Linked DNA regions of Cricetulus griseus. The protein of the gene in region 1 purifies or fractionates together with the protein of each later gene. This does not show direct contact. Links are inferred from orthologs where the notes say so. Each region holds a gene or a part of one and is shown on either strand. Other genes may lie near its edges. The genes, in order: Cdh5, Jup and Ctnnd1.

What was found.
Region 2: the proteins of Cdh5 (region 1) and Jup purify together in Homo sapiens (affinity purification with western blotting; 3 studies listed by BioGRID and IntAct, with this or other methods). This does not show direct contact. The link is inferred for Cricetulus griseus from reciprocal best matches to the Homo sapiens genes CDH5 and JUP.
Region 3: the proteins of Cdh5 (region 1) and Ctnnd1 purify together in Homo sapiens (affinity purification with western blotting; 3 studies listed by BioGRID and IntAct, counting the BioPlex papers as one, with this or other methods). This does not show direct contact. The link is inferred for Cricetulus griseus from reciprocal best matches to the Homo sapiens genes CDH5 and CTNND1.

Annotation. Positions count from the first base shown.
Region 1 is NC_048596.1:180,280,048-180,290,400, reverse strand, and holds the start of Cdh5 (cadherin-5), read right to left. Parts: upstream 6,471-10,353; coding exon 6,267-6,470; intron 1-6,266. UniProt on the Homo sapiens protein: Cadherins are calcium-dependent cell adhesion proteins. They preferentially interact with themselves in a homophilic manner in connecting cells; cadherins may thus contribute to the sorting of heterogeneous cell types.
Region 2 is NC_048600.1:113,443,257-113,453,048, reverse strand, and holds part of Jup (junction plakoglobin), read left to right. Parts: intron 1-5,801; 5' UTR 5,802-5,809; coding exon 5,810-6,017; intron 6,018-8,715; coding exon 8,716-8,975; intron 8,976-9,166; coding exon 9,167-9,405; intron 9,406-9,792. UniProt on the Homo sapiens protein: Common junctional plaque protein. The membrane-associated plaques are architectural elements in an important strategic position to influence the arrangement and function of both the cytoskeleton and the cells within the tissue.
Region 3 is NC_048599.1:90,923,861-90,933,652, forward strand, and holds part of Ctnnd1 (catenin delta-1), read left to right. Parts: coding exon 1-5; intron 6-780; coding exon 781-934; intron 935-1,290; coding exon 1,291-1,308; intron 1,309-1,749; coding exon 1,750-1,818; intron 1,819-3,024; coding exon 3,025-3,152; intron 3,153-3,250; coding exon 3,251-3,401; intron 3,402-3,979; coding exon 3,980-4,172; intron 4,173-4,750; coding exon 4,751-4,865; intron 4,866-5,419; coding exon 5,420-5,507; intron 5,508-8,977; coding exon 8,978-9,040; intron 9,041-9,792. UniProt on the Homo sapiens protein: Key regulator of cell-cell adhesion that associates with and regulates the cell adhesion properties of both C-, E- and N-cadherins, being critical for their surface stability.

The DNA.
Region 1 (10,353 bases):
CCACTCTTGCGGTGGTTTGAATAGGAACGGTCCCCAGAGGCTCATACATTTGAATGCTTAGGATGTAGCATTAGAAAGTGTGGCTTTCTTGGAGTAGATGTAGCCTCTTTGGAGGAAGCATGTCACTGGGGTGGGCTTTGGGGTTTCAAATGGTCAAGCCAGGCCCAGTCTCTCCCTCTTTCTCTCTCTCTCTCCTGTCTGCAGATCTAGATGGAGAACTCTCAGCTACCTCTGCAGTACCATGTCTGCCTTCCTGCTGCCATGCTTCCCACCATGGACTGAACATCTGAACTGTAAGCCAGCCCCAGTTAAAAGTTTTCCTTTTTGAGTTGCTCTTCATAGCAACAAAACATTAACTAGGACAACTCTCATCTCTCCTTATCCCCTTCACTAATATTGTGGCTTGAAAGTGAAATGACTCCTATAGGCTCCTGCATTTGGACACTTAGTTCTCAGCTGGTGGCTCCATTTTATAAGATTGTAAAATCTTTAGGAAGTAGAGCCTTGCTGGAGGAAGTGGATCATTAGGGTGGGCTTTAAGATTTTACAGCATGGCCCTAAATCCTGTTCATTCTCTGCTTCCTGACTTGAGAACACATTGTAACCATCTTCCTCACACTTAAGCCATCATATCTTCCTTGATGTGAAGGACTGTATCCCTTCTTATACTTTGAACAAAGTAAACCCTCCTTTGAGACGCTCCTTGTGGGGTGTGTTAAGGAAAGGATAATCACGCTGCAATCCACAGACCCAGAGAAGTCATATAAAGAGGAGAGGTCTAAGGGAATATCCCTGGATATCCCTGGGAAGGGGAAATAGAATAGATTTTGTGGGTGGACTGGGGGCAGGTGCATATAGAACAAGAGGGATCAGGCTGCAGAGGGAAGGATGGAGGGAGAGAGTACAGGGAGAGACAAACTGGAATAGGTGGGCATTTAGGGGGTGACGTGGAACCCTAGTGCGGTGGAAATTTCCCAGAAGCTATGAGGGTGACCCTAGCAAGGACTCCTAGTAATGGAGGATATGGAGACTGAAATGGCCAACTCCTGTAACCAAGGTAGGCTCCCAGTGATCAAACGTTTACACCAACCCAGCCACAAAACCTAGGACCCATAATCTGTCCTGCCGGAAAGATGTGCTGGAGCACTGGTGGCTCAGAGCTTGTGGGATGGCCAACCAGTGACTGGTCAAATTGAGGCCCAAGTCATGAGAGGGAGCCCATGCCAGACACACTGCCTGGATGGTCAGGATCTGGAAGTTGGATATTTCAGAGACCTAGGGTAGAACTAAACATGACTGACAAAAAAGTCAATGGAATGATTCCTAATGATACTCTGCTGTCCCATAGATCAGTGCTTAGCCCAATAGTCAGAAGAGAGGTACCATCCAGCAGCTGATGGGAGCAGAAGCAGAGACCCACAGCCAAACACACTAGGCAGAGCTCAGAAGATGGGGAGGAAAGATTGGAGGAGCCAGAGGGATTGAGGACACTAGGAGAACAATGGTCACAGAATCAACTAAGCAGGGCTCTCAGGGGCCCAGAGACAGAAGCGACAACTATAGACCCTGCATGGGTCTGCACTAGGTCATCTGCATACATGCTGTGGTTGTGTAGCTTAGTGTTCTTGTGGGACTCCTGACTGTGAGAGAGGGGACGTCTCTGGTTATTTGCCTACTTGTGGGACCCATTTCCTCCTACTGGGTTGCCTGGTATAGCCTTGATATGAAGGTTTATGCCTAGTCTTACTGCATCTTGTAATGCCATATTTGGTTGATAGGGAAATGGAAGAGTAATGGATCTGGGGGTTGAGGAGAGAAGGTTGTAGTCAGGATGTATTGTATGAGAGAAGAATAAAGAAAAAGAAGAAAAGAAAGAAATGTGAAAGTAATACAACTAGCATCATCACTGCCACAGTCTCTGATACTACCACTCATGATTATGGAGGCCTGGCAGCCGTCTGTACGAAAGCCCAAAAGTGAAACCGAAAGAGAGAGGCAGTCCCCTTCAAGTCTTGCTCTACCTCACCCCGTCACCCCGGCCACGCCCTCGCAAGCATGGTCAGGCACATCTGTAGCCAGCCCCTAAGTAGGCGTGGCTACAGCTTCCCCTACAGAGGCTCTGTGCCTTGGCCTGTGGTAAAGCAGTTTATCTTAGTAGAAGCATGTGGCAGAGGAGAATAGTTCACTAATGGCATTCAGGAAGCAAAGAGAGAGTAGAGGGGCCAGAGTCCCCAGATCTACTTCAAGGGAACATCCCTAAATGATCTAGCTTTCTTCTCCTAGGCCTCACTCTGAAATATTTCACCATCCTCACTGGGGCCACAACCTTTAGCACATCATCTTTAGGGGACACTGAAGACCTAAACTGTTGCAGGATTTCCACCTGAACACTAAACTATAACATTCTGTTTTAACTAACTAACTAACTAACTAACTAACTAACTAACTAGTCTTTTTGTGTGTGTTCATGAACGTGCGCACATGCATCAACCTCAGAGGCAATTTGTGGGAGTTGTTTATTTCTCTCTTTCTACCATGTGGGGCCTGAGGATTGAACTCAGGTTGTCAGAATACAATCTACAGACCCAGAGAGGTCATCTAAAGAGCCATCTTTCTGGCCCATAAACAAGCAAGCAAAACAAACAAGTAAGTTTTGTGTGCATGTATGTGACACAGGGCAGGTGTGTGTGTATTCTCGCCTGCCACTTTTGAACTCAAGTTGTCAGGCTGATACAGAAGTACCCTCATCTGCTGAATCATCTTGCCAGCCCTGAATGACAACATTCTGGCTCTTACTACCAAGGGCTCATGTTTGTCTCACAAACACTGTGTATTTGTGTTTCTTCAAGAGTCCCTGCTATAGCTACACTTCCTGCATTGCTCACAGGAAGTGTCCTTTGAGACTCAAGGAAGCTTTGGGCCTTTAAAAATAAAAGCCAAGCTACACACTACAAGACACAACGGTACAGGACAAGCATTCCTGTCTCATAAAGAGGAAAATGTTAAGTATCCCAGTTTACCGTATTGCGTTGGCATTGCACAGAAATTAACACCCATATTGGTCTAGAAATGTTGAACTTAATTTTTTTTCCATTTGTACAGGGGTAACGCACTGTATTAAATATATAAGGTGTTATCTACATGGGTTTGATTACAAAAACTAATAAAGTATTCTCTAAATAAAAAAAAGGAGAAAAGTGTTAACTGCCAACTTGACTGAATCTATTATCACTCATGAGACAAACCTCTGTGCTCACTTGTGAGGGACTGTCTATGTCAGGGGAGCCTGTGGGCATGCCTTTGAGAGATTTCCTGTTTTTAATTGAGTGGAATCCATTGTGAGTGGACCCATTCCCTGGGCAGAGGTCCAGGACTGAATACAGAAGAGAAAGTGAGCCGAGTAAGCATTCATTGTTTTGTTCTTGATTGTGGATGTAATAGAACCAGCTGCTTTAACCACCTGCTGCCTTGACTTCCCCTCCATAATGGACTGTATCCTTGAATTGTGAGCCAAAATAAACCTTTTCTCCCTGACATAGCTTTTGTCAGAATATTTTATCACAGAAAATATAAAAGAAAACTAAGATAAGAAGGGAGAATTGGACTCAAGAATGATAGAAATCTAGCGTGGAACACATCGAATCTTATAGTTCCATTTCTAGCATCTTGGGTACAAGGGCTTAGGTAGTCTGTCCCCTGTGGCCTATCTGTTTGCAGTATCCATGGTATCTCCCTTAATCTGGCTCTACTTCTGCCTTTCTGGCATAACTCACTTTTTGGAATCTCGATTAGAGATTTACCTTCATTCTCACAGATTTGTAGACCATCTTCTCAAGGGTTGCCTTCAAGGACTCCAAACCTACCATGCTATTTGACCTTCCAGTTTTCCTTTGAAATTTTGGTCAAAGCCTCTTTGACCCCACAACTGTTACATCTGTGTACCCACACCCCACACCCCAACCTCATGAGAATGATAGCCAGGTACAACCCTGGCTCCAAAAATAGCCGTGCCATCTCAGATCATGAGCACAGTGTCCACTGAGTACCTGATGGGTTAAACACACTGGAGGGAATCCCAATCCCGGGGAAATGATTCCATAGCCAGTCCTGTGAGTGTAGAGTGCTCTGGAGCTCTCTTCTCAAACAAGTCTTTGGATCTGATGTGGGTGGTGTATTGCTGATTCCTGAGGTGCCCTAAAGGCATCTTTCCTATCATCCTGTTGTAAAGTATTTGGTCTATTTTTAATGCACTAATTTAAAGGCTCACAAGTAAGACCATGTCCTTAGTTTGTCTAGAGTTGAGCCTGTGGAAATGAGAACAACACGATGGAAAACCCATGGCAGAGATAGTCTGTTCACCTCATGGTATCTAGGAAGCAGAGCATGCGTGGTGGGGGGTTGGAGTCCCAATATCACCTTTGAGTGCACACTACTACTGACTTCCCACTAGGCCACCATAGCACCACAGGGTAACAACAAACTTAGCACATGACATAAGGGCGATATCTTAAGATCCAAATCATCACCTCATCATTCAGACCACTGTCACCATAGCCACCACTTCCATTACCTTCTTCTCTATCACTGCCATGATCATTGTTAACAGCATCACCGTCATTACTGCTATTACTACCATCATAGCGTCCTCACCTTCCCTTTCACTATCACTGCTGGTGTCACCATTACTATGTCATACGACCATCATGACCATCACAGCTATCATCACCACCATAACCTCCTTCAACTTCCCTTTTACTAAACCACGGTGGTCATCATTACCACTACCGCCATCACCTTCACTCACTGCTACCACCATGGCCACCACCAGCAGCATTAACTCCCTCGCTTCCCCTTCACTATCATCATGACAATCACCACTGCTATCTCACTATCATTATCTTTATCATCTCCTCCTTTACTATCACTGGCATCACCACCATAACTATTATTACTATGGAAAGCACCTTCTCCATTATCACCACCACTGTCATCACCAAGACCAACACAACCACCAACTCTCTCACCTTCTTTACTATTGCTCTTACCTCTACCACCACTGCCACCACCAAGAGCGCCACCGCCACCACCATCACCCCGTTAGCATCCTCACCTTCCCCGTCACCAATCACCACTACCATCACTATTGCCATCACCACAATGACCGCCCCTATCCCACCACCACTGTTAACTTCAGCGTCTTATTCCTCACTATTACTGTCATAGTCATCATTCCCACCACCACCAAACCTCCCCAATCCCCATTACCATCACCATCACAAAATTGCCGCTTCTCCCACTGTTACCATCACCACTACCAACACCGATGTCGCTCACCGCCCCCTCCATCACGATTAGCTTCCTCAGTTTCCCATTTTCTATTACTATGATGTCATCACTATCACCAATGCCATTAACGTCCTCACCTTCCCTTTCATCATCCCTGCCACCATTACCACATCACCACAGTCACCACAATCACAACCACCTTCACCTCCCTCACCTTCTGCTAGGTTTTGAATGAGAAACGTCTCCCATAGGCTCATGTATCCCAACACTTCATTATTGGGGGAGGAGTATGGAACATTTTAGAACTGGAACCTTGCTGGAGAAAGTATGCCACTGGGGGTGGGCTTTGGGGATTTAAATCCTTGCCTCATTTACTGTTCTCTCTCTGCTTCCCGTGTTAGGTGAAGTGGGACCAGCCAGCTTCTTGTGCCAACTGCCATACTGCCCCTTCCCTTCCACGAGGGACTCTATCCCTCTGGACAAGTAAACCAGAAAAAAAAAACCTCTTTCTTGAGTTGTGATTGGTTATGATATTTTGTCACAGCAACAGAAAAGTAACTAATACAACTTTCATTTTACCATTACTGCCATTATCACCATGGTCACCACCATCATCACCACCCCAACGCCATGATTGTAACTTCATCACCTTTAATTTCACTCTCAAAATGACCAAAGACCACCGCCACCACCACCGCTGCCACCAACACCATTGACATCATTATCAACGTCTTTATTTTCCTTAGATATCCTATCACTGTCACTATCACCATCATTATCATCACTTTCTCTTTCCTATCAGCACAGTTGTCACCTTCACCATTATTGCCACCATGTTCGCCACCTCTACCACCTCTTATCTTTGTTGCTGTCACCCTTCAGTGACAACCACTCCTGTAGTCATCACCATTTGTGCTACAAAGGCCATGACTATGGTCCAGTTGTTGATAACTTCCATCACCCTGGAGCCCAAGGCTTACCTTTCCCACATAGTGGGGCAGTGAGGCATTTTTCTCTTCATCTATATGCATTTGGTTCCAAATCCAGTCTCTCTTCTGGCGGTGGTGGGCAGGCAGCATGTTGGGGGTGTCTAGCTGGGGAAGGTTAGGGCCTGCCATTGCCGCCGCTGCCAGCAGGCCCAAGAAGATACCCAAAGCAGCGGCCAGCTCTGTTAGCCTCTGCATCCTTTCAGGAGGAACAGATCTGGGGAAAGAGAATCGAAAATATCAGGGTATAGTGGCTACTGTCCTAGAGTGTGAGCAGCTCACTCTAGGAACCAAAGTTCCTTTGTCTCTCTCCTCCTTTATCTTTCATTCAGCTGACACCAGCAGAACTAGACCCTGGTCTAAGTGGGGAAGGCAAGCCCAGAAACAATTTCTCCTTACACCCACACAGGCTGGCATGAAAGCAGGCATAGGGGGATGAGATCTCCAGGCTGGGAAGGACACTTGTAATGCCAGTGCTCATGGGGACACTCAGATGAGGCACAGAGAGGCCAATTTCACCTTTGAATAAGTAGCACAGCTGAGAATAGAGCCCAGACATCGATCACAATCAGTCACTGTCATCGAGAGTTCACTGTTTGCCTGGCTCCATTCTAAGCCTGTTAGACACTCTATCTCATTTAATCTTCCTCCCAACTTCCAAGGTTGGTGTAATTGTGACCCTCATTTTGCTTTTGAACTGAGACACAGAGACACTTAGTAACCTCCCCAAATCACACAGACTGTAAGGAATAGAACTAAGACTTGGACTAAATCTGTGTGGCCCCAAATTTCAGCTCATTCCTGATGCCTTCTGTGCCCCACTAGCTGCTTGGGTTAGATTTAAAGATTCCTCCAAACATCTCTCCAGCTCACTCCAGCCTGGAAGCCCCTCTAGCATTGATGTGGCCTTCAAAGGGCTCCTAGGAAATCCCAAACATCTTAATCCGGGAGTTAGCCTCTCACTCCAGAACTCACAAGTGATAGCCACTTTAGAGGATGGGTTGGGTGGGAGTTGAGAGGCTGTGTATTCATGCTGGCTTCATAATTTGTGGGTCCAGTGTAAAACAGAGTGGTGGGTCTTAATATTTTTTTTTAAAAATGGAATTTTGAGATAGAGATAAAAGAATTTTAAACTGCAAAGGGCCCCTTTAAGTGAGGGCCCTGTGCAGCTGTGTAGGCTGTCCACTCTGGAAGGCCACCTGTAGGTTCGGAATGTGGGTCACCCAGAGATCAAGTCCTGCCTCTATTCTAAATTTCAAAAATGGAAAATTTCCAGTGCCTCGTGATTTTTGTTGGAGGCCATGTCCATCGGTCATCACCATGGCTTCTCAGCTCTAACCTCCCCATGCCACCCATCCCAGGTCCCTGTGTCACTGACCTGCAGATCCTAGGATAGTATGGAGGAAGAAAATGTGTGCCTGGGGAGAGCTGAGGGCCTTCAGGGAGCTGGAAGGCATGACCTCCTCCCCTGCTATTGAGGGAAGGGGTGGATCCTGTGCCTCACTGGAGGTTTGTAAACTCTAGTAACATCATCTCTGGACCATTGGCGCCAGGCTGGCCTCAGCGAGGGCTGGGCTGTCTGTGCTGACCTTAGCACCCATGGTTCAAGTCTGTCCTAGAAGGAAGTGGACTCCAGTATCCCGGAACAAGACCCTGTGTTGTGCTGTGTGCCTAGGGGAAGCTCTCTCTCTCAGGCCTTGACTTGTTCAACCATCAACAAAAGGGTCTGCCTAGAACATTCTGGGGGCCCTTGGAGTAAGATGCCAGGCAGAGGAAGACAGTGAACAAAGGGGTGGGGGAGAGGAGTGGAGGCAGAAGATCTGCCAGGAATCTGGTCCTGACTAGGGCAGGGGGTGGTGGTAATATGACCCTCTGCCTTCACCTTGCAGGCAGTAATGTGAGTCATTTCCTTATTTCCTTCTTGGCCCCGGGAGGGACTGCCAGGCTTGGGTTTTTCTGTTCCCTTCAAGGAAGAAGCAGCTAGGAAATGGAAAAGTAATATAGTAGGAAGTGAAACAGAGAAGGAGGGGAAGAGTTCTCAGCCCTGGAGTAAGCAGAGGGTGAGAGCCTAAACTCTGCGCTGCTGCTGGGGGTGAGACCTCTGGGATGCTGGACTCCACTGGGCCTTGGAACACAGCTGTCCCAGAGCTGTTTGGCACACTGGGACCAAAAGGAAGTGCAGACAGTGGCAATCCCATTGGGAGATGAAGCTGTGAAATAGCCATCAGAGACTGGGCAGCCATGGGTAGCACTTTGGAGATGCTTTTATTATATTTTGTGACACTGGGGGGGGGTGGCAGGGAGGTGTGACCAAAGGCCTTGTGTGTGCTAGGCAAGTGCTCTACCACTGAACTACACTCACAGCCCCTGCAGGAAATTATTTAAGGTCACGCCTGAGTGTTTCTAAGAAGGCCAAAGGGAGGAAGAGAATTTCAGGACACAGCACCAGCAGGAATGAAGCCCTGATTTAGAAGGACAGTTACCATGTACCCTGGGTAAGGCAGAAATGAACAGCAAGGGCCAAGGCACTGGAGAGGTGCTCCATCAGTGTCGTAGGTCAACGATGCCCTCCAAATATCCATGTCCTGTCCACTGAACCCAAAAGGTTACCTTACACAGCAAGAGGGACTGGGCAGATATACTTAAGTGGAGGATCTTGCTTGAGGCTTAATTAAGATGGGGACTCGATCCTAGGCTACCTAGAATAATCCCAGGGTCTTTTGAAAATAGAGGCAGGAGGGTCAGATTCAAAAGAAAGTTGGAGTTAGACCTGGTGGATCAGGCCTTTAATCCCAGCTACTTAGGTGGCTGTGGCAAGAGGGTCTCAAGACCAACATCTTCCTTGGCTACAGAGTGAGTTCAAGGCCAGCCTGCGTGATCTAGGGAAACCCTGTCTCACAAATAAGGATGTAGTTCAGTTGGTAGACTGCTTGCCCAGTATGCACAGAGCCTCATTTTTTATCTCCAGCACCATGCAAACAAGGTATGGTGGTACATGCCCATAATCCCAGCATTTAGAGGGTAGAGGATCAGAAGTTCAAAAGTCACAGTCAGCCACCTAGGAAGCTAGAGGCTAGCCATGAGACCTTGCCTCAAAAATAAAGTGAAATAAAATAAAATGTAGAGAGAGGGTTCAGGATGCATTTCTACAGTCGGGCACTTGTCTCAAATATGTGAAGGTCTGGATTCCAGCACCACAAAGAGATGTAGTGAGACTCACCTGAGGTGCTGAGAGACTACCAGCTAAGTGACACAAATGGCCCTTGGAGCTAGAAGAGGCCTGGGCACCAGTTCCTCTTGAAGCCTGGAGAGGGGTCACAGCTCTGAGTTCAGCCCTCTCTGATCCAGTTCAGACTCCTGGCTTTCAGAACGGTAAACCGATACATAAACAAACACATGTGCTTTAAGCCCTCAGATTTGTGGTAGCTTGTCACCATCATCGGAGGATTATGGCCTGCTTATTGTGCTTGTTCCTGAACACAGTCCTTAAGTGGCACATGCCTGTAATCCCAGGACTTGGGAGGCAGAGGTAGAATGACTGCCAGGAACTTGAGGCCAGTCTGAGCTATATAGTAAGATCTGGTCTCGAAAGAGCAGTAACAATAATACCCCATCCTGAGCATTTGTGTAGATCATTTTGTCTCCTAGATCTTCTCTTTGCCCTCACTAACCTCTGCTCTGAACCACAGAGTTTCCCCTGGGACTCCTAGCCTTGGCCTTGGCCTCTGGCTGTGTTTAGCCAAAAGGTGTCCATTGGTTGCTCTGGTTATGGGAAGAGAGAAGTAGGCCACTTCTTCCCGGCCCTCTGGTCCGCCTGTCTTTCCCTTTGCAGTTGCACTCTCCATCATGCCAGATCCTAGTGGGCAGCATCTGTGGGATTTTTGCCTCTGGGATCTGCAGGTGTCCTCCCTTTTGCCCCTTCAGCCCTGGAGATGATCACTTCCCTCTATTGCTGGTCTCTGGGTACTTGCACATGCAGTGTGGCCCCTGTGCCCCCACTCACCCCCGCCCCATAGCGCTGCTGGAAGTCCCTTTATAGTGCCTACACTGTACATTGAGTTCCCTATGGGGACTTTGTATG
Region 2 (9,792 bases), on another chromosome or scaffold:
TATTTTTTATTTATTTTTGGTTTTTCAAGACAGGGTTTCTCTGTTGCTTTGGAGGCTGTCCTGGAACTTGCAGACCAGGCTGGTGTCAAACTCACAGAGATCCACCTGCCTCTGCCTCCCGAGTGCTGGGATTAAAGGCGTGCTGATCACCATTTTTAAATATTTAAATTTTATTTTTATGTTCATTGGTGTTTTGCCTGCAAGTATGTCTGCATGAGGGTGTCAGAAGTCCTGGAACTGGAGTTACAGAGAGGTGCGAGCGGCCTTGTGGTTGCTGGGAATTGAACCCAGGTCCTCTGGAAGAGCAGCCAGTGCTTTTAACTGCTGAGCCATCTCTCCAGCCCCTGATCATCATTTTTTAAAGCTGAGAAGTGCACAACAGTTTGTGAGAATAAAAAGTTGTCTTTAATCTGAACTTGGTGAAGCAGCCGCCTCGAACCTTCCTTCCTTCTACTGCCCCACCCTCCGGTCCTCTGCTCCATACCTCCATCTCCCAGTGTGCACTGCATACAACGGGAGCTGGATTTACTCCTCCCTCGTACAAGGGCTTCCTGCATGTCATTCAAGCACTTCATTCTTTTGGGGGGCTGGAGGGGGCGCAGGTCAAGCAAGGTTTCTCTGTGCAGCCCTGGCTGTCCTGGAACTCACTCTGTAGACCAGGTTGGCCTCCGAGATCTGCCTGCCTCTGCCTCCTGAGTGCTGGGATTAAATGTGTGCGCCACCACCGCCAGGTTTAGCACTTTACTCTTAAGCCCCCCATCCTAGAGCCTCCCATGCCCTCACTGTGGCAAGTTTTTATTTTTCTAACATTTATTTGGGGCGCGGGCGTGCGTGCCACTGCATACAGGTGGGAGCCAAAGGACAACTTAACAGGAGTCAGTCCTCTCCTTCTACCGTGTGGATTAAACTCAAGTCATAGATCCGTTAAGCAGCAAACACCCTACCTTGCCGAACCACCTTGGAGGCCCCAACGTAGCGTTTTCATGAAGCCTTGTTGCAAAGCTTTTACTTTCTGCAGCCTGTGTTATCTGGGGACTAAGTATTCAGTCCTTTTTGTCCAGCCCTATCCCTGCAACATCATACCCTAACTGGCCGGGATCCAACTGCTGCTAATGGGGCTGCCTCAGCTCCAGTGGTGCTGGCTAGTGGCTGGTAACAGCTGGAGGGATTTTCCATTCCCAGGAGTCCTGCTTTGGGCTCATCTGCTGGCTTGGGACACTGTCCCAAAGAAAAGTGTCCTCAACAGGGATGCAGCTGCAGCTGGAGCCCTCTGCAGGGGAGCCCTGAGGTTCCCTAGGTCAGGCCACTTGGCCGGGCCACTTCCCTCTGCTACAACATCCCCTTCATTTTCCCACCCTGCTCTGTTTGCTTTGGGACGCAGCCCAGAAGAGAACAAACAGCAGCTGGGTCGTGGCCTGAGCCCCTCCCACTCCAGACCCCTTCTTGGCCATGGCCTGAGCTGGACTGTCAGACTGGAAGTGGGGGGTTGCCTTTGACTTCTCCTGTCCTGAGCATTGGTCATGCATGGCCCCTGTTCTGCAGATGGAGGCCACGGTGTCTGCCCAGGAGCATCTCACTACCATAGAACAGGTGCTGGGGGACAGTGGAGGAGTTCCCTCCTGGTATCGGCAGTCTCTAGAAGTCTCTGTGTCTGTCTGGTGGACTGTATCATAATAGAGTGTGTTTCTGTCTGTGCGACTGCTGGCTATATCCCAGCTGGATCTAAAGGCAGTGAGGAGGAAAGGTGGGGGCTGTTCTGTCTGGACTGACCTGTTGAAGGAGAGAGGCAGGGAGGCAGCCGCGTTCAGGTCACACACACAGTCTGAGAAACGGGGGTCACAAGATTAAATAGTTTGACTTGCTAGAAGGCCCATAACCAGTTAGGGGTGAGTTCTGATAGAGACCCCTCTGCAAAGATGCTCACCCACCACTCCCCTCGTGCTTTGAGATAAGCCCATGGATCTGAGTATCAGATAGGGTACCAGTCTCTGACCCAGAGAACCTGTAGGGGAGCCCAACCTTGCTCCCCATACAGTGGACCCGTGCTTAGTTTCTGCTCTGACGGCCAACATAGTCTTTCAGCAGCCTGTTTTCATGAGCATATTTCTTTCTCTTTTTTAATAATTCATTTTTATTTTATGTACAATGGTGTTTTTTTTTTGTTTTGTTTTGTTTTTTTGCTTGCATGAATGTCTGTATGAGGGCATCGGATCCCTTGGAAATTGAACTCAGGACCTCTGGAAGAGCAGCCAGTGCTCATAACTGCTGAGCTATCTCTCTAGCCCCTCGTGAGCATATTTATAGGTGTCTTACTGTCATGTAGCAGCCCAGCCTAGCTGTGCCTGTTGCTGACTGTCCCCTACAGGTGCTGGCCAGGCCGGAGGCTGTTGTCACTCTGGTAGGGTTATTTTTAAAGTCAGGACTGGCCGTCATTCTACAGGACAGCTTGGATGGAGGGTGCCTGATGCCAGCACCCCAGCTGGCTGTACAGAAGAGCAGGCATGAAAGGCGGGGCTCTTCCCCAGTCTGGAGCCAGTGGGGGAAGGGCCCTTTGCATACCCTTCAAGGGCTTGTGTCTTCTCTCTTCCTGTCTTTGAGCCACCCCCCTACTCCACCCTGTGATCTCTGAGCTAGCTTCTTCCTCTCCGCTGCCAACAATGCAGCAGAACTCCACCACTAGACAAAGGTTCCCCCATTCAACTAGGAAACCCGCCCTGTCCCTGTCTCTTGTCCCTACCCATCTCTGGCCCACTGCCTGGGCAGGGCCCCCACCACTGTCTCCCTCACTTCCAACTGGGTTCTGTCCAGGGGCTTTGCAGACGGTCTGACCTGTGGATCCAGGGTGGACAATACTTAGACCAAACTGGGTGCGGCTTCTCCACCCTGGGAATGGCCAAACCTGTACTTTTCGCTTGTTATGGAAGAATTTCCCAGGTTCTCTTGAGGAGTCAGTAGGGAGAAAGGTGAAGTTGATTGACGTCCTGTCTGATCCTGGAATACCAGCCTTCCAGCTGTTTCTGTGAGGAGTTCTGGTGTGTCCCCTCTCTTGCTCACTCTCAGTCTTCCTTTCGCTTGCATGGTAACACTACTGCCTTAAAATCTGAGACACCAGTGCTTTTTCTGAGATAATGGGGCCAGCCTTTCTGTGGGTGAAACCCAGAGAGGTTAAAAAAACAAAAACAAAAACAAAAACAAACCCCAGGGGTCCCCAGCATATGTGATGAAGCTGAGACCAGACCCTAATATGATCAATGCATAGGTGGGAGGTCCTCCACCTGCAAGCACCCTCATTCTTATCCTCCCCTTCTCCCCTCGGGCAGAGGACTCAACTTCCTCCAGAGGTGAACTAAATCCCAGTAAGGTAGACCCAGCATTGAGCTAAGCACCACCTTTTCTGCAGTGCGGAGCCAATCAGGAATCAGCAAAAGGCCTGCCAGCAGGGTTGGAATGCACTGGCTGTCAGAGAACTGGATGCTTGCCCTCTGATATCCTTTGACCCATGCCTGGCCCTGGGCAGCTAGCTATCCAACCCTTGGCTTCCCTTGGCTCCAGGCCTGGCCAGCTGGGCATGAGGACCAGCATGTGAGCAAACCCCTCTCAGGATGCTAGCCTTGACTACAGTGTTCCCTTCTCACCCGAGGCTGACTGTTGTGGTTTGGGATGAGCCTTCTCCTGTCTCTCTGGATCCTAGGGTTAGATGGCTATCTCTGTGGAAGGCAGCTTTGTGGTCAGACTGGGGAGCTCATGTCTGCAGGGCCTATTGTCCTACATTTCGTCCTCACCCTCTTGACTTTGCCTCCATGGGGCACTGGAGGGTCATTGCCAATGGGTTTCACCATCTCAAGAGCTTGAGTTTGGTTTTTTTGCTCCCTCCCAAGGGTGACTTCTGGGACCCACCCATTCCTCCCAAGCTCCTCAGTTCTCTCTTGGGACCCACCCTGGGGGCAGAGGACAGGATGGGGGAAGGCAGGGTTTTCCTGAGCTGGCCTCCTCCAAGCTCCTGATTTCCTACCATTGGCTTTTCGCTGCTGCTGGAGCTGGCGGGAGGGGAGCACAAGAAGGTGGAGGTAGTCTAAAATAGCTACTCCTGGCAAGTGTCTGGGAGCAGCTGTGCGCATCTGGTGGCCCAGTGCCTGCCGTCTGTGGCCTGGGCCTACTGCTGTTTATCAACCCCAAACGAAACTCTGAGTCACCCAGGGTGGCGGGAATAGAGGAAGGCGGCCGCTGGGAGCTGGTGCTGCCCTCGCCTGTTTTAGGACTGCTTGTGGCAGGGGAGGGAGGGGCTGTGTGTCCCATGAAGGGCAGGGAGAACATTCATCAAGGTCTCCTTTTTTCTCTCTGAAACAGTGTCTACCTCTGTGGCTGACTCCCACTGGTAATTCCTGTATCCCAGTCTCCCAGGTACTGGCATGACAGGCGTGTTCTGCCATGCCCCTCTGTCGTCACGCTCTGGGAAGGGGCCCCTGATTCTCTTTGTTCCTGGGGTGGCGCCTCTCGGTGCCATGCCCCACCCTCATGTTGCAGGGTTCCCCCGTCATGCCGGCCACCACCCCATTTTAGGAGTGGACTAGCCTGGGCTCTGCTCGTTTTCTGAGGTCATATTGGAGTGCAGAAGGTGGAGACCTCACTGTTAAGCCTGCCGGTCCTTTCTGGTTCCATTGCTAGCCGGTTTCTACATTTATGAGTTGGGGAACAAAGCTCTGAAACCCACGAGTGAGAATGATGGCATTTGTGAGGTGTCTGGAGGCATGTGTGAGAGATGTGGGCACATAGTAGGCCCTCAGACATTCCGTCATCTCTCTCCCTGGCCGCCTGTGTCTGGGTGGTGGTGGTTGTGATAGGGTCAGTGTCCACAGATGTGGGACCAATTAGACCAAATGGGAAGCCCACTTGAGGTGGGTGCGGACACTTCCTCATGAGCCTTCAGATGACCCCAAGTCCCCAGAGCAGGGTGAGATTCCTCAACCGCAGTGACCACCCCAGAGGCCTGCCAGCTGCTAGCCTGGGTTCCAGGAAGTGGAAACTGAGCAGCATCCTAGGGGTGAGGCAATATCCTGGTCCCCAACACTGAACACCTACTAAGTGCCATCCATAGTGGGTCCTTCTTCCCAAGCACTGTCCTCACAGCAAGCAATCTGTGAGAGTGGTGGAACCGAGAGCCGGATTGGCTTGGAGTAAGTGGCCAAGATTTGAACTGGTCTGTAGAGCTCAGATGCTGGGAAAGCTGGGCACTAGAAGAGGGGAGGGCCTGGTTAGGCTCACCTTCTGGAAAGTGAGACTCAGGAACGCTGAGGGAGCCAGGTGTGCCGGAGAAACCTGTCTGACAGCTTCCCCACCCCACCCAGTCTCTCAGCCAATGGCTGGTTGGGTGCTGCAGCCTCTGCAACCTTCCCCAGGGAGCTGCAGCAAGTCTGCAGGGCCCCTGCAGCTGCCTGAAGCCCTTAGTTCCTTTGCCACTTGAAATACTGGCTTGGGACAGACTGGTGAGTGAGCTTGGGGCTGGCCTGGAAGCGTCTGGCTGTTTCCGTCTCCACACCAGAGCTGGGGATGCCAGGCCAGGGCTTAGCCACAAAGGCTCCTCTGCAGCTCTACTCTGCCTAGGCCGGCTTCTGGTGGGCAGCACCTTTCTGGGCTGAGTGCCCTTCTGCTTCACCCCTGCACCTTGCTGTCTGAGTTCCTTGAGACTATGGTGGGGTGTCAGAAGAAGGGCAGATTTCAGGGAAGATGGCTGCAGCCAAGTTGAAACTGGAGGTGGTGTTGTCCCTCCAGCCAGCTAACATTGTGCTCTTGTTCATCCTTAGCAGCCGCCATGGAGGTGATGAACCTGATTGAACAGCCCATCAAGGTGACTGAGTGGCAGCAGACGTACACCTACGACTCAGGCATCCACTCAGGTGTCAATACCTGTGTGCCCTCAGTCAGCAGCAAGGGCATCATGGATGAGGATGACGCCTGCAGCAGGCAGTACACACTCAAGAAGACCACCACCTATACACAGGGGGTGCCCCAGAAGCAAGGTGTGTTCTCCAGGGTTGTGTTTTGTTTTGTTTTGTTTTTGTTTTTTCCATGGGGCAGGAACTCTAGCTAGATCCTGGTGGGAGGTAGATCAAGGGAGTCTCTGGTTTGAGAAGTTCCTATTCTTGGGGACTTAGGAAGTCTGAAGGGGAACATGTGGCTACTCAGAGACAGACACAGATGTCACTTCCATAACTCTGAATGTGTAGGGAAGCATAGGCTCTGCCCAGCGGTGCCAGTGGTTGGTAGAGTGGGCCCACACTTGGCTTCTGGGATTCTAGGGATGTAATAAGGAGACTTTATTGCCACCCTCAGTGGGAACGTGGGCATTATTGGGAAGACACACATCTGATGAGAGAGACCAGGAACAAACCCTCCATCCCAGTCTGGTGGTAGCGTCACAGTGTTCAAGCCTAGACGGGCTAGAGCATGACTTGCAGATGTCCCAAGGACAGGGCACAGAGTCGCTGAGTCAGTTTTGGGTCCTGACACAAAGGCGAATACTTGGCCAGTCCAGGTGCTCCTTCCTCTCTGGGACAGAGGTGCACGTAGCTCTAGGACTGTCATTCACAGATGCCCCCAGGGCCCTAAATATTCCAGGTAGTGGGATTTGGGGCCTGGACAGTTGCAGGGTGAGCAATGGCTGGTCGAGGCTCTATGAATGTGTCCCAGGTCTCCTTCCTGGCCCCAGGCAGGAGCCTGTGTGCCTGGCAGGGCCAGGTGCATGTTGGGAGCTAAAATAAAGTGTACAAGTGGGAGAGCCCTGTGGGCAGCCTCGCCTTCCCCATTCATTAGGGAATAACTCTCTGCCTGACTCTCTACTGGGGCATCGGGACATTTGTTGTGACTTTTTTTTAATAGCCCCAGCCTACCCCAGAGGTAGAACCCTGTGTTTCCCTTGAGGACCTTTGCTCCTGCCTTCTCAAAGCCACAGTCCCGTCCTGTCTCTCAATTGACTGTGTGATCTTGGGTGGTGCTCTGGGACTAATTTTGGCCCCCTGTGTATGGAGAGAGTTGCTATTTTGTGGAGGGTGAGTATATAATTAGAATGTTGAAGTCTAGCTTGTCTAATCCCATGACTGCCCTGCCGGTTACAGGTGGAGGAGGGGGCGGGACTTTGGGCACCCGAGTCCACTGCTTTTATGACCTTTGAATTCAGTGTCCTGCAAAATGGAGATAGTATTATACTTGCCTTGTAAGATGGTTGTAAGAGTAAATGATAAAGTAGGAGAAAGGTATTTAACCCACTGTCAGGCAGATGAAACACCACCATTAGCTCTTCTTTTTTGTTTGTCATTATTTGTGTGTGTGTGTGTGTGTATGTGTGTATCTGTGTGAATGTATACACATGTGTGGGCGAGGGTACCCTTGGAGGCCAGAAGAGAGCATCCTTTTTAAGATCCTTTAGAACTGGGGTTACATTGTTTGTGAGCTGCTTGATGTGGGTGCTGGGATCTGAACTCTGATCCTTGTGATAAACCATTTCTCCAGCCCCTGGTCTCATGTAACCTAAACTAAACTGTTTTGTTTTGTTTTTTAAAGATTTTATTTATTTATTATGTATATAACTTTCTGCCTCCGTGTACTCCAGAAGAAGGCACCAGATCTCATTACAGATGGTTGTGAGCCACCATGTGCTTGCTGGGAATTGAACTCGGGACCTCTGGAAGAGCAGTCGGTGCTCTTAACCTCTGAGCCATCTCTCCAGCCCATAGCCTAGGCTATCTTAAACTCATTGTGTAGCCAAGGATGACCTTGAACTCCTCTTGCTGCCACTTATGAAGTGCTTTAATTAATTACATAAGTGTCCCACCAAGCCTCATTTTATTCATTGTTGAGAGTGGAACCTTGTTAGGCAAGCATTCTACCAACTGAGCTACATTTTCAGCTATAGCTGTTAATAATTATTGCTGAGCTGGCCATGATAGCAAGGGTATATGATGTCCCCCATGTACTTGGTAGACTTGAGGCAGGATTACAAGTACAAAGTAAGTTCAAAGTCAGCTTGGGAAACAAAACATTTTTAATTTTTTAAGTGTGTGTGTATTTGCATGTATGTATGTATGTATGTATGTATGTATGTATGTATGTATATACACCAAATGGGTGCAGTACTTATGCTGGCCAGAAGGGAGAAGCCCAAACCTCCTGGAACTCCAGTAAGCTATGGCTTTGAGCCACCATGTAGGTGCTGGGAATGGAACCTTGGTCCTCTGCAAGAGCAGTAAGTGCTCTTAACTGCACAACCATTTCTCCGGCCCCCAATTTTTTTTTTTTTTTTAAGACTGGGAATATAGCTCAGTGGTTAGATGCTTGCTGAGCAAATGTGAGGCCCTACTTTTACTCCCCAGAACTGTACTGCAGAACAATATGCAGTACTACATATATAACAACATATTGCTGTAGACATTTTTTGTAATGATAGTTGTCAGACAAGAGTCTTTTCAAAGCAAGTCATGGCTGTGATCTTAGTTGTCATAGAGTTCCCTGTGCTGGGTGGGCTAGATGGGCCTCATGCTATAAATAAAAGCAATGGCAAAGATGATTTCCCAGAACCTTGTTAGGTATAGAGTCCTGAGTGATGCCCTATACTTTGATGGAGCACGAGGCAGCTTGGAGCCGTGTCTGTGTGGCTTACCTTGCTCTTCAGGGTCCCTCTAAATCTCCTGTAGCTCAGTCCTTGTGTCATTTGTCTTCCAGGTGACCTGGAGTACCAGATGTCCACGACGGCCAGAGCCAAGCGGGTGCGGGAGGCCATGTGTCCAGGTGTGTCAGGCGAGGACAGTTCTCTACTGCTGGCCACCCAGGTGGAGGGGCAGACCACCAACCTGCAGCGGCTGGCAGAGCCATCCCAGTTGCTCAAGTCGGCCATTGTACATCTCATCAACTACCAAGATGACGCAGAGTTGGCCACCCGGGCCCTGCCTGAGCTCACCAAGCTGCTCAACGATGAGGACCCGGTCTGTGAAGGGCCTGGAGGTGGGGTGGGATAAAGTTAGCTGTCCCCAGAGGGAAGGAAGCCATGAGGCTGGCTCCCCACAAAGTGTCTGGCTCATCTAAGCTCTGTGGAAGGATGTCCTGTCCTTTGCCTTCCTTCCCTCTGTGGAGGAGTTGCCTGGACTGTATGCTCAAGGTCTCATACTTCCTTTAGGTAGTGGTGACCAAGGCGGCTATGATTGTGAACCAGCTGTCCAAGAAGGAGGCATCCCGCCGGGCCCTAATGGGCTCGCCCCAGCTGGTGGCGGCTGTGGTGCGCACCATGCAGAACACCAGTGACCTGGATACAGCCCGTTGCACCACGAGTATCCTGCACAACCTCTCCCACCACCGGGAGGGGTTGCTCGCTATCTTCAAGTCTGGAGGCATCCCTGCGCTAGTCCGAATGCTCAGGTAACTTGCTCCTCTGTTGCACAGGCGTCAGGGGCCTCCCAGCATCCTTTTATACACACATGTGAAGCACCACACCCATCCTGGCTCTCAGCTGCTCATAGCCCAACCCAGAGACAGTAACGTAAACAACAGGCTGACTGTTAGGATCTGTAAGTTGTAGCAACAGAATGGTTGAGATTGCCCAGAGGCAGACTCGTACTGAGGGCAGGGCTTTGACAGATGGGTGGATTTGGTCAGCCTTGATCAAGGAGAGGCTATCCTAGCAAGAGAAGAGCATGTCTGAGCCCCACCCGACCATGCGATTTTTTTCTCCTCTTTCCCGGCTGAGATGAGTGGGAGTTCTTTGAGGGGAATTTCACTCCCCTCTGTAGCTGTCACGGGGCCTCT
Region 3 (9,792 bases), on another chromosome or scaffold:
GCAAGGTAAGTTAATGACTGAGTGAATTTTGTTAACAAGGTAACCGTGGTTCAGATCTTCCACTTCAGGCTATCAGATAATATAAAATACCAACCCCTTCTCCTTAAAATGGGCATTGAGTTTAGAAGAAGCAAAGTGTCTGTATTTTGTGTGTGTGTGTGTGTGTGTGTGTGTGTGTGTGTGTGTGTGTGTGTGTGTGTGTATGTGTACTTCAGTGCAAGTGCACAAGAGCACAGGCCAGGAAAACATTGGTGTCCTTTGTCACTCAGGTACTCTTCACCCTATTCGTTTTAGGCAAGGTCTCACCTTGAGGTTGTATTCTTTGGCTAGACTAGCAATAAATATACTTCAGCAATCCCGTCTCTGTTCCTATAGCACTGGGTTTACAGGTACATTGGTACATTCAAGATCATGCCTGGCTTGTTGTGCAGCAGGTGCTGTGAATGACTTTACCCCTTCTCCTTCTCCCATATATATTAAAGCTGCTCAGTAGCTTCCTAGGTTATACGTTTTCTAAGTAGGGAAAACAATGACCTAAATGTCACATCATTAAATAGTTTCAGAAGCCATTATATGTCTGTAGTTAGTTCTTCTGTTAGCATGAAGATAACAAGGATTTTGAGGAGCCTAGGGCACTGAGAAAGCAACCTGAGAGAAGATGGATTGAATTATGCATTTTAGGGTTGATACTTTAATATTCAAATTATGGAGACAGGATTTCCTGGAAATCACCACAAACATTGTCTTTTCCAATTGGGCCTTTTGTTTTGTGTCCCTAAGCTTGTGGAGAACTGTGTTTGCCTCCTTCGGAACTTATCATATCAAGTTCATCGAGAAATCCCACAGGCTGAACGCTACCAAGAGGCACTTCCCAGTGTGGCTAATAGTACTGGGCCACATGCTGCCAGTTGCTTTGGGGCCAAGAAGGGCAAAGGTAAGTCTTAGTTCCTGTTCTTTAATGTGGGGGACAGGGAGGGACCACTTAGCTTTTTAGGACTTACAAATAGTCGGGAAGTCTACCTGGTGGAGACTTGTCCTTTTTTGCTCTGCTGCTGCTCCCCTTGTTCTGGATGCTTTGACGGTGGTGATGGTGATGGTGGTGATGGTTGTTAGTGTATTGGCAAATGGGGTATTGAAAGACAAGAACTCAACTAATCTGGGGCCTTCCTCCCTATTCCTCCTGTTCCTCTGCTTTCTTGTGTACTTGCCCATGATCCTGTTGACATCTTTCTCCTGCGTTTTCTTCCTTCATTTCTCTCCTCGCTTTCCACCTTGGTGATGCACTGGAAGATGAGTGGTTCTCCAGAGGTGAGTGCAATCTTTTAAGGCGCTTATCTCCTTCTAATTTGCATGTTTTGGTTTTTACCTTCCCTAATATTTCCTTGTCTAACCCTTCCCTGTGGATGCATGTAGGAAAATTTTAGTTGAGGAAAAGCATTGAAATAAGTTTTAGCTCTTCTGGGTTATGGTTTTGACCTGCTGTTTCTGGATAGCAGTCTCCATTATAAGAACTCTTTCTTAGTAGCAAGAGTGGTTATCCTTTTTGTAACAATCTATTGCCTGATTTTGGTCCTTGTTCTGCACCACCCTATTTGGACAGGTATGTGTGGGGTTTCCTTCTTTTGCCTCTTTTGATGCTGCATCTCTGATCTGAAAATTCTGACTGAAGGATGAAAAACTGAGGTGAAATCTTTCCTTCTTTTAAAAATTCTTTACTGAATTCTCTCTACCCTTCTCCCATTTTTATAGGGAAAAAGCCCACAGAGGATCCAGCAAATGATACAGTGGATTTCCCTAAAAGAACTAGTCCTGCTCGAGGTAAATTTTCCTTTTTCTCAGTCTCCAGAGAGCTCAGATACAGTTTTTGCACATGGTAACATTATTGCACATGGTAAAAGGCGAAAAGATTTATATGATGTGAAGAGAAAGCAGAGTCACTATTTCACATGGTAGCACTATATTAACAATTCTCTCTGACTTGTTGGATTTGAAGTGATGTTGAAAAATATTGGGAAACTTCACAGTATTTAGTCTCAAGTCAGAAGCTAGACTGGATGTAATAGTACCTGCCTGCAAACGTAGTACTTGGGCAGCTGAGGCAGGAGGATTGCTGTGAGTTCAAAGCCAGGTTGGGGTAGAGAGTGAGAGAATGCCTCAAAAAAGGAAAAGAAAAGCCAGAGACTTAGCTAAGTGGCTACTATTTTTTGATCTTGAACCTTACTGTCAGAAGAAATCTATCGCAGCTTGGATTTTTGGGCTCATTGTATTAATAAATATAAACTTGCTAGCTTTCCATAAATATAAAAGATGTTAGTTAAGTGATGTTAAATCTCAGGCTGTCCTTTCATTTAGTTATATTCCTGGTGGGGAGAATTACTGAGTTAAATCAGAAATAATTTGTTTGAGAGATTGAATCACTAAGCCTGATTACTCACGGTGAAAACAAGGCTTCATTTAGCTATGGAGTACAAGTCAAGGAGGAAGGAGACAGGAATTGAATATGATAGAATTGATGTCTATTCTATTTTTGCCATGGACTAGTTGTTGTTATTTTATGTTGTTTTTTGAGATAGGGTCACACTATGTAGCCCTGGCTGTCCTGGAACTCTCTATATAGACTAGGCTGGCTTCAAACTCATATCTACCTGCCTCCACCTCCCAAGGGCTGAGATGAAAAGTGTGTACATTGCTTCAGGCTAGACTAGTTATCTTTTTTTGTTTGTTTGTTTTTTGTTTTTAGAGGCAGGGTTTCTCAGTGGCTTTGGAGGCTGTCCTAGAACTATCTCTTGTAGACCAGGCTGAGATCTACCTGCCTCTGCCTCCTGAGTGCTGGGATTAAAGGCGTGTGCCACCACCTTAAGGCAGGGGGTCAGCTGGGCATAGTGGTTCTTGCTTATAGTGCTGGCATTTGAGGCTAGTCTGTGTGACATTACAATTCCCTGTCTCAAAAGAGAAAACAAAAATCTAAGAAGAAAGAGATATGGAATCAAGCCTCTGAGTTTGCTCTTGACTTTTCTTGTACAGGCTATGAACTCTTATTTCAGCCAGAAGTGGTGCGAATATACATTTCACTTCTTAAGGAGAGCAAGACGCCGGCCATCCTAGAAGCCTCCGCTGGAGCTATCCAGAACTTGTGTGCTGGGCGCTGGACAGTGAGTATCCCTGAGAAAATGGATTTGGAGATAGGAAATTTAGCTAACTCGTTTGCTGCCATTTGTAATCTTTTCACCACTTCCCATGTGCTTCCTAGTATGGTCGATACATCCGCTCTGCTCTGCGTCAAGAGAAGGCTCTCTCTGCCATAGCTGACCTCCTGACCAGTGAACATGAACGAGTAGTGAAAGCTGCATCTGGGGCACTGAGAAACCTGGCTGTGGATGCTCGGAACAAAGAATTAATTGGTAAGGATTTGAATCAGTACCTAGTACAGTGCCTGGATTCCAGCAAATGTTTAGTCATTTGTTGATGTCACCGAAGAATAGGATCTTCCTTAGTTTATATATCTGAGTGTTGGTAAAGGTTCATGGTTTAATGATTCTTAAAAACATGAAGTGATGATTCTTCAAAAACATTATAGCCACTATTATTTGTTGAATATCTGCTTTTTTTCCTCTAGGCATTGTTAAGAATTTTCCTATTTTTTCATTTGCCCAGAATAGCTTGTTAGTACTAGGCAGAGCCCAAGTTGTTGATTTTTTTAATTCATAAAGAAGACTCTGTCCCATTGAATTATCATATAATAGTAGTGAACATACTGTTTTCATTAGTTTGTGTGAAGATATCAGTGGTATATTTTGATATCTAGCATCATGTTGTCTTAGTGCACTTGAGGAAGGAGGAGGGGCTGTGGGTTCATGGCTATCTCATGTTCTTTGCCCCTTTGATATAGTCTTATGTAATAATGAAGTTGATTTGTAAGGCCCCGCCTGGCCTGACTGCCTTGTCTCCTACATGTGTTACTTTTGTCTCACTGCTATAGGCAAACATGCCATTCCTAACTTGGTAAAGAATCTGCCAGGAGGTCAGCAGAACTCCTCCTGGAATTTCTCTGAAGACACCGTGGTCTCTATTTTGAACACCATCAATGAAGTTATTGCTGAGAACTTGGAAGCTGCCAAAAAGCTTCGAGAGACCCAGGGTATTGAGAAGCTGGTGTTGATCAACAAATCAGGGTGAGCTTGTACTTAATCAGAGCTGGAAGAATTTGAGTGTAAGAGAAGAGTTTTCAGAAAGGAGCTGCCCTCTTCTGTTCTGTTAGATTACTTTACCATATATTACCCTCTGACATGTGGAGAGGTATTGATCTATTTTCATTCTTAATGCTGGTCTATAAATTGATGATGGACTCTTACATCAAATTAGTCTATTTCAGTCTTTCAGACAGAATATACAGTTTGGTGAAAATTTGATTTCACCCATTTTTACAATTTTATATTCTTGTGTTGTTACAGCAGTGACCTCAACCTGTAGGTCACTACCCCTTTGGGCTTGTCAAATAAGCCTTCACAGGGGTCATCTAATACCATTGGAAAGCACAGATAATTAAGGTATAATACATAACAGTAGCAAAATTACAGTTAAGAAGTAGCAAGGAAAGTAATTTTATGGTTGGGGTCACTACAACATGAGGAACTATATTAAAGTGTTGTGCATTAGGAAGATTGAGAACCACTGTGTTAGAGGGTACAGGTTCAAGATTTCCTGGTCGTCAGCCAAACTTTGTATGGTGTTTCTTTCTATAACTCTATAGGAATCGCTCAGAAAAAGAAGTCCGGGCAGCAGCTCTTGTCTTACAGACTATCTGGGGCTATAAGGAGCTTCGGAAGCCACTGGAAAAAGAAGGATGGAAGAAATCAGACTTCCAGGTATAATAACTCTTGATCAAAGCTTTGACTTTTCTTCTCCTCTGGTCCTTGGCTAGTGCCTCTGTCTTTGGTTTCTTCTATTTCACTATCATACTAAATCCAAGTCTTTCAGATGGTGAAGACTTTATTTGCCATACTATCTCTTAATGCAGTGGTGCCCACAGTCTCTCAATGTTGAACATGCAGTAGATGCTGCTGGTAGTGAATGGTCATTGTGTATGGCCATTGTGATCCCCCTCCCCATCTACTCTGACCCTCCATGTACTTAACATTCTCTGATTCTTCTGCCTCTAGTCCCCTAAGTACTGGCATTATAGATAAGTGCCACAGCCTAGCCTCAGATTCTTTTTCTAAAGAGTTATAGTTGTCAGTAGGAACCTAGAGAATTAAGCCCATTACGGGAAGGATGTATGAGTGAGGGCTAGGGCAGATGATGGAGAAGGAAGTTAGTGGTCCTTCAGTGTCTGAAGCAGGAAGTACATGATTAGGAGGAGGGGACAGAAAGAAGTGGATATTCATGTTTCTCTGACATTGGGTTTTATGTTTGCCTACAGGTGAATCTAAACAATGCATCTAGAAGCCAGAGCAGCCATTCATATGATGATAGCACTCTCCCCCTCATTGATCGGAACCAAAAATCAGGTATAGTATCTAAGAGGTGCACCTTTTTCTTTTTAGTGCTCCCACTATTATTTAATGTCTTATTAACTAAGCAATGGGATATGTATTTATTTCTGAATGAGCTAGACCCTGAAGAGAGCAGTAATGCTTTAACTCTGGATTATAATGTATAAGAGAATAGGTTTGAACTTAGAAATTAAAACAGGCAGGGAAGGGTGTGGTGGTGCACATTTGTAATCCCAGTCCAGGACTCTGAGGTGAAGGAAGGAGGATCAATGTGTCAAGTCCAGCCTTGGCTACATGAGACTCTGTCTCAAAAGAAAATAAAATAAAACCAAAATCAAAGCAGTTGGTGAGCTTGAGTGTGGCTCCTCTATTTGCCTGTGAACTTAGAAAGCAAGGCATAATTTTTCTGTTTAATTTCTTCCTCTTAAATTTCTGTGTTCTGTTGATTAATGTGCTTGATTAATTACTAATTAAAAATTAATGACAACTAGAAAATCTGTTATTTCTAGTGCCTAGAGAAAAAAAAAACACTATTACTATTTTAGCTTATAGCTCTGTGTGTGTGTGCACTTATGTTTTCATGTTTGTGTGATTGAACCCAGGGCTTTCTAGGCAAGTGTTGTACGTCCCTTACTGAATTAGAGCTTTTCAAACCACTTTACCATAGATGAAGTATGTATTTTGTATTGTATGTATTTTTCTTTCACTGAAAGAATGTACTGTAACCCTTCTTGATGATTTTGGCTTCTGATTTGGAGTGTGCTGTGAGGGCCCCAAAACTCTTGGACATAGGTGCTGATGGCATAAAAACAGTAGTGTTTGCACAGGTTGCTCAACATGAATGAGGGTAGCAACACTACTGAACAAATTATTTTCATTACCATGTACTCTATAAAAAGCCATCTTGACTCAGGAGCATCCTTGATGGAGCTGTAAACGTAATACCCCTAAGTACACATCGTTTAGATGTGTAGTGCTAATGAGGAGATGGGCAGCTCTTGTGCTGTATAGGGAGCCACTGTGGCTGTCTTGAGGCAGACTATAGATATTACTTATTTAGAGTGCTGTTTTACTTTGTGAAGCAGCTGAAACATGGTTATTTGGCAAGCATTTTCTCAAAAATAAATGTGGAAACCTTATCACTTTAGTTAAAAAAAAGCAGGGACCAAAGCCAGGTGGTGGTGGCACCACATTCTTAATCCCAGTCCTTGAGAGGCAGAGGCAGGCAGATCTCTTGTGAGTTTGAGGCCAGCCTGGTCTGCAGAGTGAGTTCCAGGACAGCCAAGGGTTATGCAGAGAAACCTTGTATCAGAAAAACAAATAAAACAAAGCGAAAACAACAACAGCAACAAAAACCCAACAGCAAAAACTGACAGTATTTACTACCTGAGTAAACAATATAACCACATAATTTTGGCCGAGTGTGGTGACTCAACCTAGCACTTGGAAGGCCAGCCTGACATGTAGAGTAAAACACTGTCTCCCCTCCCCTGAAAAGAAAAATCATACCCATGTTATTGAGCTTGGTAACTTCCCAGTACTTAAAAGGCTTTTTGTAGGGTCATCCATGTCACAGTATGGATGGGGACGGAGACACACACACACACACACACACACACACACACACACACACACACACACACTGCAGTAATAGAAAAATTAAAAAATAAGGTGTTAAGAATAGAAGTATCGGGCTGGAGAGATGGCTCAAAGGTTAAGAGCATTAGCTGCTCTTCCAGAGGACCTAATTTCAATTTCCAGCAACCACATGGTGGCTCACAGCCATCTGTAATAAAATCTGGCACCCTTTCTGGCATGAAAGTGTACATGCAAGCAAAATATTGTATATATGATAAATAAATAAATTTTATTTAAAAAAAAGTATAGAAGTATCTCAAGTTGGTGGCGCACGCCTTTATTCTCAGTATTCAGGAGGCAGAGGCAGGCAGATCTCTGAGTTCAAGACCAGCCTGGTCTACAACAGTGAGTTCCAGGACAGCCTCCAAAGCCACAGAGAAACCCTGTCTCAAACCCCCCCCCCCAAAAAAAAGAATAGAAGTATCAAGTTAAAAATGACTTTTATGATTATGTAAGTGATGATATAAATGTGTTTTAAAAATACACATGTATACTACTAAAATGTGTTAATTTTATAACATTTGCATAATTCTGTAAACCATTATCTTGCAGGGAGACAATGCCATGATATTTCAAAATCCTATATGAGTAATTCAAGGGCAAGACAGCTTATCCATCTATGTTTTATGATCTTTCTTGAGACAGGGTCTTGCCATGGACCCTACAATTGCCTGGAACTCATTATGTAGAACCAGTGATCCCTGCCTCTGCCTTCTAAGTGCTAAAATTATGGAAGTGTGCTTATTAATCAAAGTTAAAAGAGGTATATAAAAATGTTAAACTGCTCCTTACTTTTTTTTTCTTTTGGTCTTTCAAATTTATTATTATTGTAGACATGGTATGTTGTTGTGGGCATACATATACTGTGGCTTTCAAGTAGAGCTCAGGGGACAACTCTGTGGTGCTGGTTCTTGTATTTTTTCATGGCTTCTGGGAAATAAACTCAGGCTGTCAGGCTTGCACAGCAAGTGCTTGTTCCAATGAGCCACCTTTGCAGTCCACACACAATGCTTTTTAAATTGAAGGTGATTATGATTATGTAATAAGTGTATTTCTAAGTGGAATAGATGTTTACATTTCTGAATATAGTATTATGTACTTATTCCACACCGATAAAAGTCCTTTGCATCTTAATTTATTCTATATGTGTGTGATTTGGGACTGAATCTAAGCTTCTGGTGGCGAATGCCTTACCTACTTTTTTTTTTTTGAACATTTTATTTATTATGTATACAACATTCTGCTTCCATGTATATATGCACACCAGAAGAGGTCACCAGATCTCATTACAGATGGTTGTGAGCCACCATGTGGTTGCTGGGAATTGAACTCAGGACCTCTGGAAGAGCAGTAAGTGCTCTTAACCTCTAAGCCATCTCTCCAGCCCGCCTTACCTACTTTTGAGCCACATCTTCAACCTAGACCTTCATAATTTTGAAGACTAAAGAAACTTTGAGATATAATGGCTCAGATTGCTGAAGTGCTTTTTATTGTTTATTTGTTTATTTTGTTTGGGTGTGTAGGTAGGTCAGAGGACAGTTTATGTGAGTCAGTTCCTTTCACAAGTTGATTCCAGGGATGAGACTCAGGCCATCAGGCTTGGCAACAAGTGCTTACATCCACTGAGCTGTCTTCTGGCCTCTGAAATCTTCTTGTATTTAGGTTTCTGTAGGAGAGGGCTTTCCCGTAACTGTAGGTTGTGATTATTATTTGGCCCATCATATGTGCTGAGTAAAGTGATATTTGAATAAAGGCAGGGAAGGATGGCATGCCAGAGAGAAATGTGTACTTTATATAGATTTTGGTGTATTGGATTTTGATTTGGATAACTTTCTAATTCCATATAGATAAGAAACCTGACCGGGAAGAAATTCCAATGAGCAATATGGGGTCAAACACAAAATCATTAGGTAGGTGATGATTTCCTGTCTAATGTTGCAGAATAGTGTTTAATTGGGGTGAGTAGGTATTTTCTCTTTTTCCTTTCTTTTTTGAGAGAGTATTTTAAGTTACATAGTCTGGTCTTGAAATCAACTGCAGTTAAGGCTGATCTTGAACTCCTGATCTTCCTGCCTTCACCTCCCAAGTGCTGGGATTATAGATATGCTCCACCATGTCTGGCTTTTTTTTTTTCTGTAGCTTTTTACCTCCCTAAACACCCTTATCCTTGAAGTATTGTGATTAATAATCTCCATTTGAAAGGATATCTGGAAATATAATAAAATTTGAATAATCTATTCTTATCTACATTTTCACATGTTGCTTTGGATGGGACAACCTTTCTTAAATTTCCTCAAAACTCTCAAAAAAATTTTTTTTAAATTTTTATGTTTTTGAGGCAGGTTCTTTCTGTGTATTCCTGTTTGTCCTGAAACTTAATTTGTAGACCAGGCTGACCTTGAACTCACAGGGATCTGCTTGCTTCTGCCTCCCCTGTGCTGGGATTAAAAGTGTTTGTCAACATGCCTGGCTTATTTACTTTATATTATGCGTGTGAGTGTTTTGCTGGTATGCTTGTTTACCATGTGTGGTGCTTCATGCCCTCAGAGGTAAGATCCCCTAGAACTGGAATTAGGGACAGTTGGGAACTACCATGTGAGTGATGGGAGCCAACCCAGACCCTCTGCAAGAGCAACAAGTGTGCTTAACTGCTGAGCCATCT